Callithrix jacchus: one gene and its partner. The protein of the gene in region 2 interacts with the protein of the main gene of each other region in a biochemical or structural test. Links are inferred from orthologs where the notes say so. Each region holds a gene or a part of one and is shown on either strand. Other genes may lie near its edges.

Region 1 (4,972 bases), on a different chromosome or scaffold from region 2:
CAGACACGGGGGAGGGGTAGGAAGTGGGGCCTGTTTCCACTTGTGCCCTCTGAACCTGGGCATGAGGTTCAGGTGGCCTGTTTGCAGGTCCAGCTGAGAGGCGAGGCTGCTCTACTCCTGTCTGGGTCCCTTTTGCCTCCTGGGACACCTGAGGCATCTTGCTGCTTGGTGGCTGGCCGGGCTGGCTGAGTTGGGAGGGTGGGCAGGGTGGTGCGGGCTGGGCAGGCTGTGTGGACTGCACAGGCTGAGGAGGCTGCAGGGGCTCACCTTCAGGAGGGCCCTGGGGTCAGGAAGGAAGGCAAAGGGACAGAGTCAGTCTGTTGTGCACAAACCCCTGCGCCCAACAAATGACCCAAAGGGCCACAGGGAAAGGGTCAGATGTGGCATCTCCTGTCAAGTCAGGCCCGCAGAAGGAGCCTGAATCAATGGAGCTGCTCTCAGAGTAAGAAGAGCTCCCTCCCAATATGCAGAGCTCCCCATGACATGATCTGATCTAATCCTTTCATCTCAGAACTAAGAAAGCTCTTTAAACTCATGAAAAGATCATCTTTAGGGATAGCTGACCAATTCACTTGTACTCACCCACTATCTTTACCAAAAGGTGGACTTTTAAGTATGGACAGTTTCACCGTGTTGGCCAGGCTGAACTCCTGACCTCAAGTGATCCACTGGCCTCAGTCTCCCAAAGTGCTGGGATTACAGGCGGGAGCCACTACGCCCAGATGCCCAGCCTGATTTTTTTTTCTTTCTTTTTTTTGAGACTGGGCAGGTCTCGCTCTGTCACCCAGGCTGGAGTGTAGTGGCATAATCTTGGTTCAATGCAACCTCTGCCTCCAGGGCTCAAGTGATTCTCCCACCTCAGCCTCCCAAGTAGCTGAGACCACAGATGTGTGCCACTGCCCCCAGCTAATTTTTGTATTTTTTTTTTTTTTTTGTAGAGATGGGGTTTTGCCATGTTGCCCAGGCTAGTCTCGAACTCCTGGGCTCAAGCAGTCCTTCTGTCTGGGCCTCCCACAGTGTTGAGATTACAGGCACGAGCCACTACACCTAGCCCTGATTTCCTTAACACATCTCTGCTTCAAAGCCTGCTGAATCCCACTGGCATATGCCCAGAAGACAGTGGGGAGACCCCTGGCTCACTCACCTGAGCAGCTGTCTTGGTCCTCGAAGGCAGGCCAACAGAAGCAGCAGCAGGAAATTGAGTGTGTGTGAGCTGGGCCGGGGTGTGGTAGGTGCGGATGTCGCCGTACCTGTATTCTTGAAACAGCTCCCCACTGGAGTGCACAATCTGCACCCCGTGGGTCACCACCACAGGGGGGGTCAGAGGCAGCCCCTGGAGTTGGTTGCTGGGGGTGACTGTGAGGATACGGGCCTCACCATGAGGAGCAGGGGCAGGAGGAGGGGCAGGGGCAGGGGCAGGAGCAGGGACAGGGACAGGGACAGGGACAGGGACGGGGACGGGGACAGGGGTGGGGGTGGGGGCAGGGCTGGGAGTGGGGGCAGCTTTGGCATCTGGTGTCTTGGCAGCTTCCTTCCCAGGCTGTTGAGGGGCCTTGCTGGCTGGTGGCACCTTCACCACCCCATCCGTGGCCCTGGGCTGCTCACTGACTGCCGTCACATGTGGATGCACCATGATCCTCACATCCCGAGGCACGGTATAGGGATGCAGCCGGTACTCAGACTGCATGACCAGGACTTCTGACTGAACAGGGGCTGTGGCTCGAGCGACGGGAAGGTGGTAATGCACTTCCTCCTCAGGAGGGTGCTGGGAGGCCAGTGCAGGCACACCAGCTGGGGCTGGCTGTGGGGTGCTGGCACGCTGTGGGGCCCTGACCTCTATTTGCTGGGGCTGCAGTGGAGCCCGAGGAGAATGAAGCGCTTCTGGCCGGATGCTGTAGGTGATGCTGGGCAGCGTGGGAGTGTTCATTCTCACCTCACCCTGGGACAGGTGGCTCAGGGACACAGTCTGGGTGATGCTGTGGGGTGGCATGATGACAGACTGCTCTGGGTGGATGCTGGAGATGAACTGGGGCACTGGAATGCCTGCGGCCAGCATGACCGTGGCGTTGGTGGAGAGTGCAGTGGATGTAGTACTGCTAGGGTGGCTTGCCCTTGGGAATGGGGATGGCCCGGGTCCGCTGGGTCGAGGAGAATGAGCATCTAGCTTTGCAGCTGTCAAATGCGAGACAGTTCGATCTGCTGGGATGCTGGGCCCCGAGGGGATGTGGTTCACTTCTGTAGGCAGTTTGCTGGGCAGAGCAGGAGGGTGGTGGGGTGTGAGCGTGGACCCCAGGTTGGCCGGCTGAAGGACCTTGGTCTCGATTTTAAGGGTGACGGGGTCAGCAAGCTTTTTGTTCGTGGTGACAATGCTTGGGGTGAGGACCAGCTGGTTGTGAACCAGCACAGGGGGCGTGTTGATGCCCTGGGTGAGAACCTTCACTGTGCCTCCCTGAGTGACAGGTGTGGACACCGAGAGGTGAATGGGCTCGGGCTTCTCTAAGGATGGCCTATCGGCCTTCACAGATGAAATCACAGGAGAGGCGTTATATGTCTGGGCGGTCAGTACCAGTGTGGAGTGGGTGGCCACATTCGCATAGCCTGCAGGAGCTTGAGGGCCTTTGAGTGGAGGCTGTGATGCCGTGACAGAATCAGGTTTGACCTGGGACTTAGACACCGACTGCTGAAATTCAATGTCCATTGCACTGGCTGGGGGGATCTGACTGATCTTGGCACTGATCCGCTGTGGGCCTTCAGTCTTCTGCCCTGAGTAACTCAGGAGCACAACCCCTTCGGAAGTGTTCACACGCAGCCCCGTCCCTGAGCCTGCGTCTGCCGGACGATCGTCGATCACAGCCATGGACCCTGGGTGGAACCGACTGTTTTCATTAGCATTCACTCTCTGTTTGCACTTTGCTGATGGTGCAATCACTGCCCCTGCCATTGTCACTGTGCCTGTTGTGGCTGTCACACCACCAGATGCAGCAGTAACTGCACCCGCTGTGACGGTCACTGCACTTGCTGTGGCATTCACTGCACCCGCAGCGGCATTGACTGTGCCTGGAGTGGCGTTCACTGTGCCCACCGTGGCATTCACTGGAGTGGTGAGAACATTCACTGGCCCCGTAAGAACATTCACGGGCCCCTTCAGGACATTCACAGGCCCAGCAGGGGTGCTCACCAAACTTTTCAGTGTGGTTACTGAGCCCTTCACAGGGCCTTTCAGGGCATTCACTGGGACCAAGGAGACATTCACCAAGCCAGTGAGGGCACTCACCAGGCCAGTGAGGGTTTGAGGAGCTGGTTTTGCCAGGGTTATCTTCTGTGAATTTTCTAGATCGATGCTGACAGGCATCCGGCTAATAACAGAAGTAATTTTGGGAGCAATGACTGGAGCCACCTTTTCCTTGTCAGCAGCTACCAGCACCTCCGAGGCTTGTGTCTCAGAGTTGTTAGTCACTGGAGCTGCTGTTTTTTCTTCTAAAGCCTTTTTAGATTCAACTGGAGGGGGCAGAGCCTCCTGTAGACAAGGGGCAGCACTGACAGGCTCTGCAATGGCCGTGGTGACACTCGTGGAAGTAACACCTGTGGCAGACACATACTTGGGGTCCATGAGAATCTTCCTCAGGGTGCTGGAGCTGGTGTCGATGTCAGAAGCCTTTGTGTCTGGGGGAAGAGCTGGAGATGGGGTGGATTGAGCCCGTGGCTCTTCCTGCCTTGTGATCCACTCTGTCACCTTAGTAGGCGGGCTCTGGTGTGGGATCCCCCCCGAGGCAACAGGAGGTGAGAGCTTTGCTGCAGTTACAGAAGGCAGCGTGGGTATGGGCATGCTTGGGTCACTGGGTGGAGTCACCGGGTCACTTTCAATGATGGAATGCACCCTGAATCTGGCTTGAGGCTCCTCATCCACTGGCACTGGCTGGGGCATTGGGGGAAGGTCTGGGGGCACAGATGCTTTGGTTGGAGTCCTTTCCTCAACACTGATTTCTTGGGACAAATTCTCTGTAGACGGAGTCTTGCCTGGGTTGGAAGTACATGACTGAGGAGGAGTGGAATGGGGTTTTTCACTCTGCTTTTCCTCCTGTGGGGCTTCAGGGTGCTGTACTGTCGTCCCCTCATTTGTAGCAGGACTCTCACCTTGAGCTTGGTCAGATTCAGGGACACGGCTCTCTACAGGAGCCACCACTTTCCTGTTTGTGTTCCGTTTACGGCGTGATCGAGTTGTCTTCTGGCGCCCTTTCTCTTTCCGAACAAGAGCAACTTCCACTTCTTTGGACCCTTTGGCTTCCGGCACCAAGTGTGAGGTTTCACTGCTCTTTCCTCTGGATTCCTTGGTATCTGCTGGGCCTGCTGAGGGGCCAGGAGCATTGACTGGTAGCCCAGAAGATTCTGTAGCAGCCTCAGTTTCCAGGATGCCAGACACAGCGTCATTGGTCTCTATTCCTTCCTCAGAAGGCTGCAGCGCCTGCGCTTGGGGCTGCAGATCTGTCTGGGATTCTCCAGGATAAGGTGGAGGTGCTGCCGGGAAGTTTTCTGGCTCCCCAGAAATGTCATTGATGATGGAGCCAATGGCCGCAGCCAGCTCTGTTTCACTTGCTTGGTGTGCAGGCTTGTCCCTGTCCTCTGAAGCAAGGCCCTCTGGTGCATCTGCCTTGTAAGCAGCAGAGGCAGAGGCCTCAGCGAGCTTTGCGATGTGCTCCACAGCCTGCTCCAGCTCCATCTGCTTGGCCAACTGCGTTGCTTCTGAGGACGGCCCAGAGGCAGACACCTCTTCTTTCTCTGGTTCCTTGTCTGGATCAACTGGATCACTTTTCAATTGGGATAAATCATCCTCCTTTTGGGGACTCTCACTTTTCTCAGGGGAGACGGCCACCACCCCAGCTTCCCTCTCCCCTGCCTGCGCTGCAGTTCCCCTGGGACTGACAGCAGCATCCACATTTTTCAGACTTGCAGATTTGTCCACTGCTAACCTGGA
Region 2 (3,910 bases):
TATACATTTTACGAGGGAATGGGCCCTGTCCTTGCCCCAGTCACGCCTGTGCCTGTTGTAGAGAGCCTTCAGGTGAGACCATCTAATCCAAATTGGCCTTTAGCTCTTCTTTGCAGTTACTCTTAGCTATGACTTGGCATCATTTCATTTCATGGGAGTTTTGATTTTTTTCCCCCAATTGTGTGATTTGGAGATTTTAACATACACCATTTGTTGATTAAAAAAAAAAAAAAATTAGAAGGAGCATACTTGCCAGGAAATTTAAATGGAAATAAACTTGTTTGTTAAATTGAAATGTTTTTAGCTAGCTTTGTAATAAAAATCATTTAATTGCCCTTTTTGTAAAAAACAAATGAAAGTTGAATGAATCTAATTTGTGTACTTTAATGAAAAATGAAAAGTTTTCTCAGTGTTGTGATTTTCTGTGAATTGCAGTTGAATGGCGGTGGGGACGTAGCAATGCTTGAACTTACAGGACAGAATTTCACTCCAAATTTACGAGTGTGGTTTGGGGATGTAGAAGCTGAAACTATGTACAGGTACTTGATAAAACTTTTTACATCATCCAGAGGTTGTGAGGGGTGTGGGTACAGGAGAGTCTTTGTCCTGGCATTGATTACAATGTATTAAACAACCTTGCCTTAAGTCTCATTTTAAAAATGTAGTTTGCTTTTTTAAAGTGCTTTTAAGTGATTTATATTTCCTCCTCAGGTGTGGGGAAAGTATGCTCTGTGTCGTCCCAGACATTTCTGCATTCCGAGAAGGTTGGAGATGGGTCAGGCAACCAGTCCAGGTTCCAGTAACTTTGGTCCGAAATGATGGAATCATTTATTCCACCAGCCTTACCTTTACCTACACACCAGAACCAGGGCCACGGCCACACTGCAGCGCAGCAGGAGCAATCCTTCGAGCCAATTCAAGCCAGGTGCCCCCTAATGAATCAAACACAAACAGCGAGGGAAGTTACACAAACGCCAGCACAAATTCAACCAGTGTCACATCATCCACAGCAACAGTGGTATCCTAACTACCGTCTTTTTGCTAGGACTTAAATTGACTTGAGTGTGGCAAACAGTTGACAAAAAAGGAGAAAAAAAATGAACAATCTTTTGTGGTTTCTTGGGAAAACTTTTCATACCAAGTGATACTATTCAGAACCCCATTATCTGTCTACAAGTGCTGATTTGAAATGCAGAAGCCACAGTAAAACAAAACAAAACATCAAAATGTACAAACTATTGGAAATCAAGTTTTCAGCAGTTTTGTTGGTTGGTTGGTTGGTTTTTCTTTGGTTTTGTTTAAATGGGCAAGAAGTAAATAATGTGGCTGGAATACAAGTTGAACAAACTAGAAGACACAAATCTAACATAGTTTTTATGGACCAAGGAACTTGTATATTGTATAAGCTTTAGTAAAAGGTACATTTTCACCATACCTTTTTTTATATCACGGTATTATAGTACACCTTGTTACCAAATAGGTTGTTCTCTTCCCCGCCCACCTTTGAGCTTTTGCTCTAAAATACATTCGGGTTCCTAGCCTGACCTTGTTTAATCTAATTATCATACTCTTCCAGGTTTTTTTTTTTTTTTGATCTAAGGCTGGAACTTTTTCTTTTCTTTTTTTTTTTTTTTCGGCTGAAGTCTTACGACTCTTCGTGAGTCAAAATTGTTTGGATTTCAGCAAGTCAAATCTTGTAAAGGCCTACATATTTTTTTTTAAGATTATATGAAGTCTGTGCAAAAGCTTTAAAAAAATGCCTCTGCCTTGCCTGCAATACATGCAATGTATGTTAACTTAGTCTCTCTTCTCAGACACTGTTGGTAGTTACTTCTGTGTTTGCCTTTAAAAAAAAAGGATTTATAATGGTTGTCCAAGAGGTTCTAACATTCACATGCAATTTGGTGTGGCCATTTAGCCATTAATGAGTTAATGGCACAGAACATGTTGATATTTGAAGTATTATTTCCCCTTTTCCCATAACGTAAATACATACGTGTGTTCCAGGATTTGTTCAGGTTTCCCCCTCCTAATCTTGTACATAACTTGTATTATGTGTAAGTTAAACATTTTATTTTGAACTTGGAATGTTCCCAGTGATTTCATTCAGCAGGGTATTTTCTGCCTTGTTGGCAAGTGACAAAAAATATGAGAAGTATTTGCTACCAGTTGGTAGATGGTGCCCTTATGGTAGAATGAGGAAAATGTCAGCAAAAGCATGTTTTATTATCTTTACTTTTTGGGGGGGTTGGAGGGGTAGCCTAGGCCAGAAGATCATTGTAATCTTAAAACATAAGATGCTTTTATTAGATGATCAACTAAAATAGCTGGAAGACAGTACTTTAGAGACAAATAGTTGTAAGATTATAAAATGCAAATGTAACTTATGTTTTCACTTCTTTCTCTGCCTTTTTTTGTTTGTTTTCTCTTTTCTAATACTGAGCATCTCCGCAAATGTCTCCTAACTCAGAAAATGTTTCTTTTCTTTTCAGCTGAGATTTGGTTGCATTCAGGGTTGTATGTTGGCCTTGCATGCTAAACTCGCCAGTTTTACCTCGCTTTCATTCCTGAACGTTGGTTATACTTTTGTTTGGTTTCTTTGAAATTGCAGCAGACTCGTTGGGCTGTATTTAGTACAGGAACCATGTGTGTAATGTTTATGACACAGTCTCGTAATACAATCATCCTTCTTAGAGTAAAAACTACCTCTAGATTGTGGTAAGCTTTTACTGTCCCATAAAACAGGAGCCACAGTACCTTTTGAATGCAAAACTGTAACTTCCTTCAGCGTTTCTGTACAGAACATTGTCTTTCTGGTGTCTTGGGCTGTTTTGAAAAAGTTTTCATTAATAGACTTTTTAGAAATTATTAGTAGTATCATTTTTTCTTCAGCTTTGCTGTCTTCACACTCACTCTTTGCTCGGACTATGCCACTGTAAATACTCTTCCTGACATCTTTAAATCGCCTTTTCCTCGGTTTTCAAGGGGAAAGTCATTCGTAAAGCACGTTAGGTGGTTAAATCAGTTATTGCGGTTTTCTCTTACTGCAAGCCTTTTTAATCACCCCCCGGGCTGTATTTTATTCTATATCGCCTTTTTTCTTCAGATCTGCTCCAGTCACTCGCTTCTCTATTATAAGCTAATCCTGCCTCACACCTTAAATCTGTTTCAGTGATCAAGGGCAGAACTCATTGTGGCCTTATCTTTCTTTGTCGTAACTGTTCACCGTCTCTTACTTACAGACCGCTTACTTCTGAGTAGTAGTTCTTCCTCTCTGTGGAGTCATGGCAGGAGTCATTACGCAGTGCTTTTGTTCAGAGCATGAACATGTTCCTAGTGCTGCTTTTCTTTTAACGGCCACAAGTTTCCTCCACTTCCTCGGTTTGGTATTTAGTTAAGGAATCATATTAAATTAACCAATAACAGAAGAGATACTTTTGAAGAACAAACTCTTCCTTACCCAGCTTTGTAGCTCAAGAATAATTTTTCAAGTTCATGACTTTCTTAAAATGAACTTGTGCTTTTTTAACAAACATTTATGTCTCATTTTGTTTTCTTTCAATAAGATAATTGAAATATTAGATTGTAAACCCCTTTCTCTTTTTTTTGAAAAGTCCAAGAATGTACTTACACAGGCATTTTTCCCCACTTATTTTTGGCCATTCTCATACCACAGACTAGAGTGAAATGATTTGTCTATTGTAGCTTATTGTTCATCAGTAGTTCTTTTGTCAGCTGCTTAAAATCTTTTTCCATGGCTTTGTGAATCATTTTCAGTATATAATTTATAGGAACCTTGTCCTCTGGTTATAGTAGACTGTGCCCCTCCTCCAGTGATGGCATTATTAGACATGCTAGTCATTTACCCTCAGAAAGACTCTCTTCTTAGAATGGTGAGTGCTTCAGTTAT

Evidence for each region. The genes of interacting proteins can lie anywhere in the genome.
Region 1: the proteins of RBPJ (region 2) and SPEN form a complex in vitro, tested with the Homo sapiens proteins (2 studies listed by BioGRID and IntAct). The link is inferred for Callithrix jacchus from reciprocal best matches to the Homo sapiens genes RBPJ and SPEN.

Annotation. Positions count from the first base shown.
Region 1 is NC_133508.1:53,273,126-53,278,097, reverse strand, and holds part of SPEN (msx2-interacting protein), read right to left. Parts: coding exon 1,145-4,972; intron 281-1,144; coding exon 1-280. UniProt on the Homo sapiens protein: May serve as a nuclear matrix platform that organizes and integrates transcriptional responses. In osteoblasts, supports transcription activation: synergizes with RUNX2 to enhance FGFR2-mediated activation of the osteocalcin FGF-responsive element (OCFRE).
Region 2 is NC_133504.1:167,408,851-167,412,760, reverse strand, and holds part of RBPJ (recombining binding protein suppressor of hairless), read left to right. Parts: coding exon 1-72; intron 73-435; coding exon 436-539; intron 540-711; coding exon 712-1,027; 3' UTR 1,028-3,910. UniProt on the Homo sapiens protein: Transcriptional regulator that plays a central role in Notch signaling, a signaling pathway involved in cell-cell communication that regulates a broad spectrum of cell-fate determinations.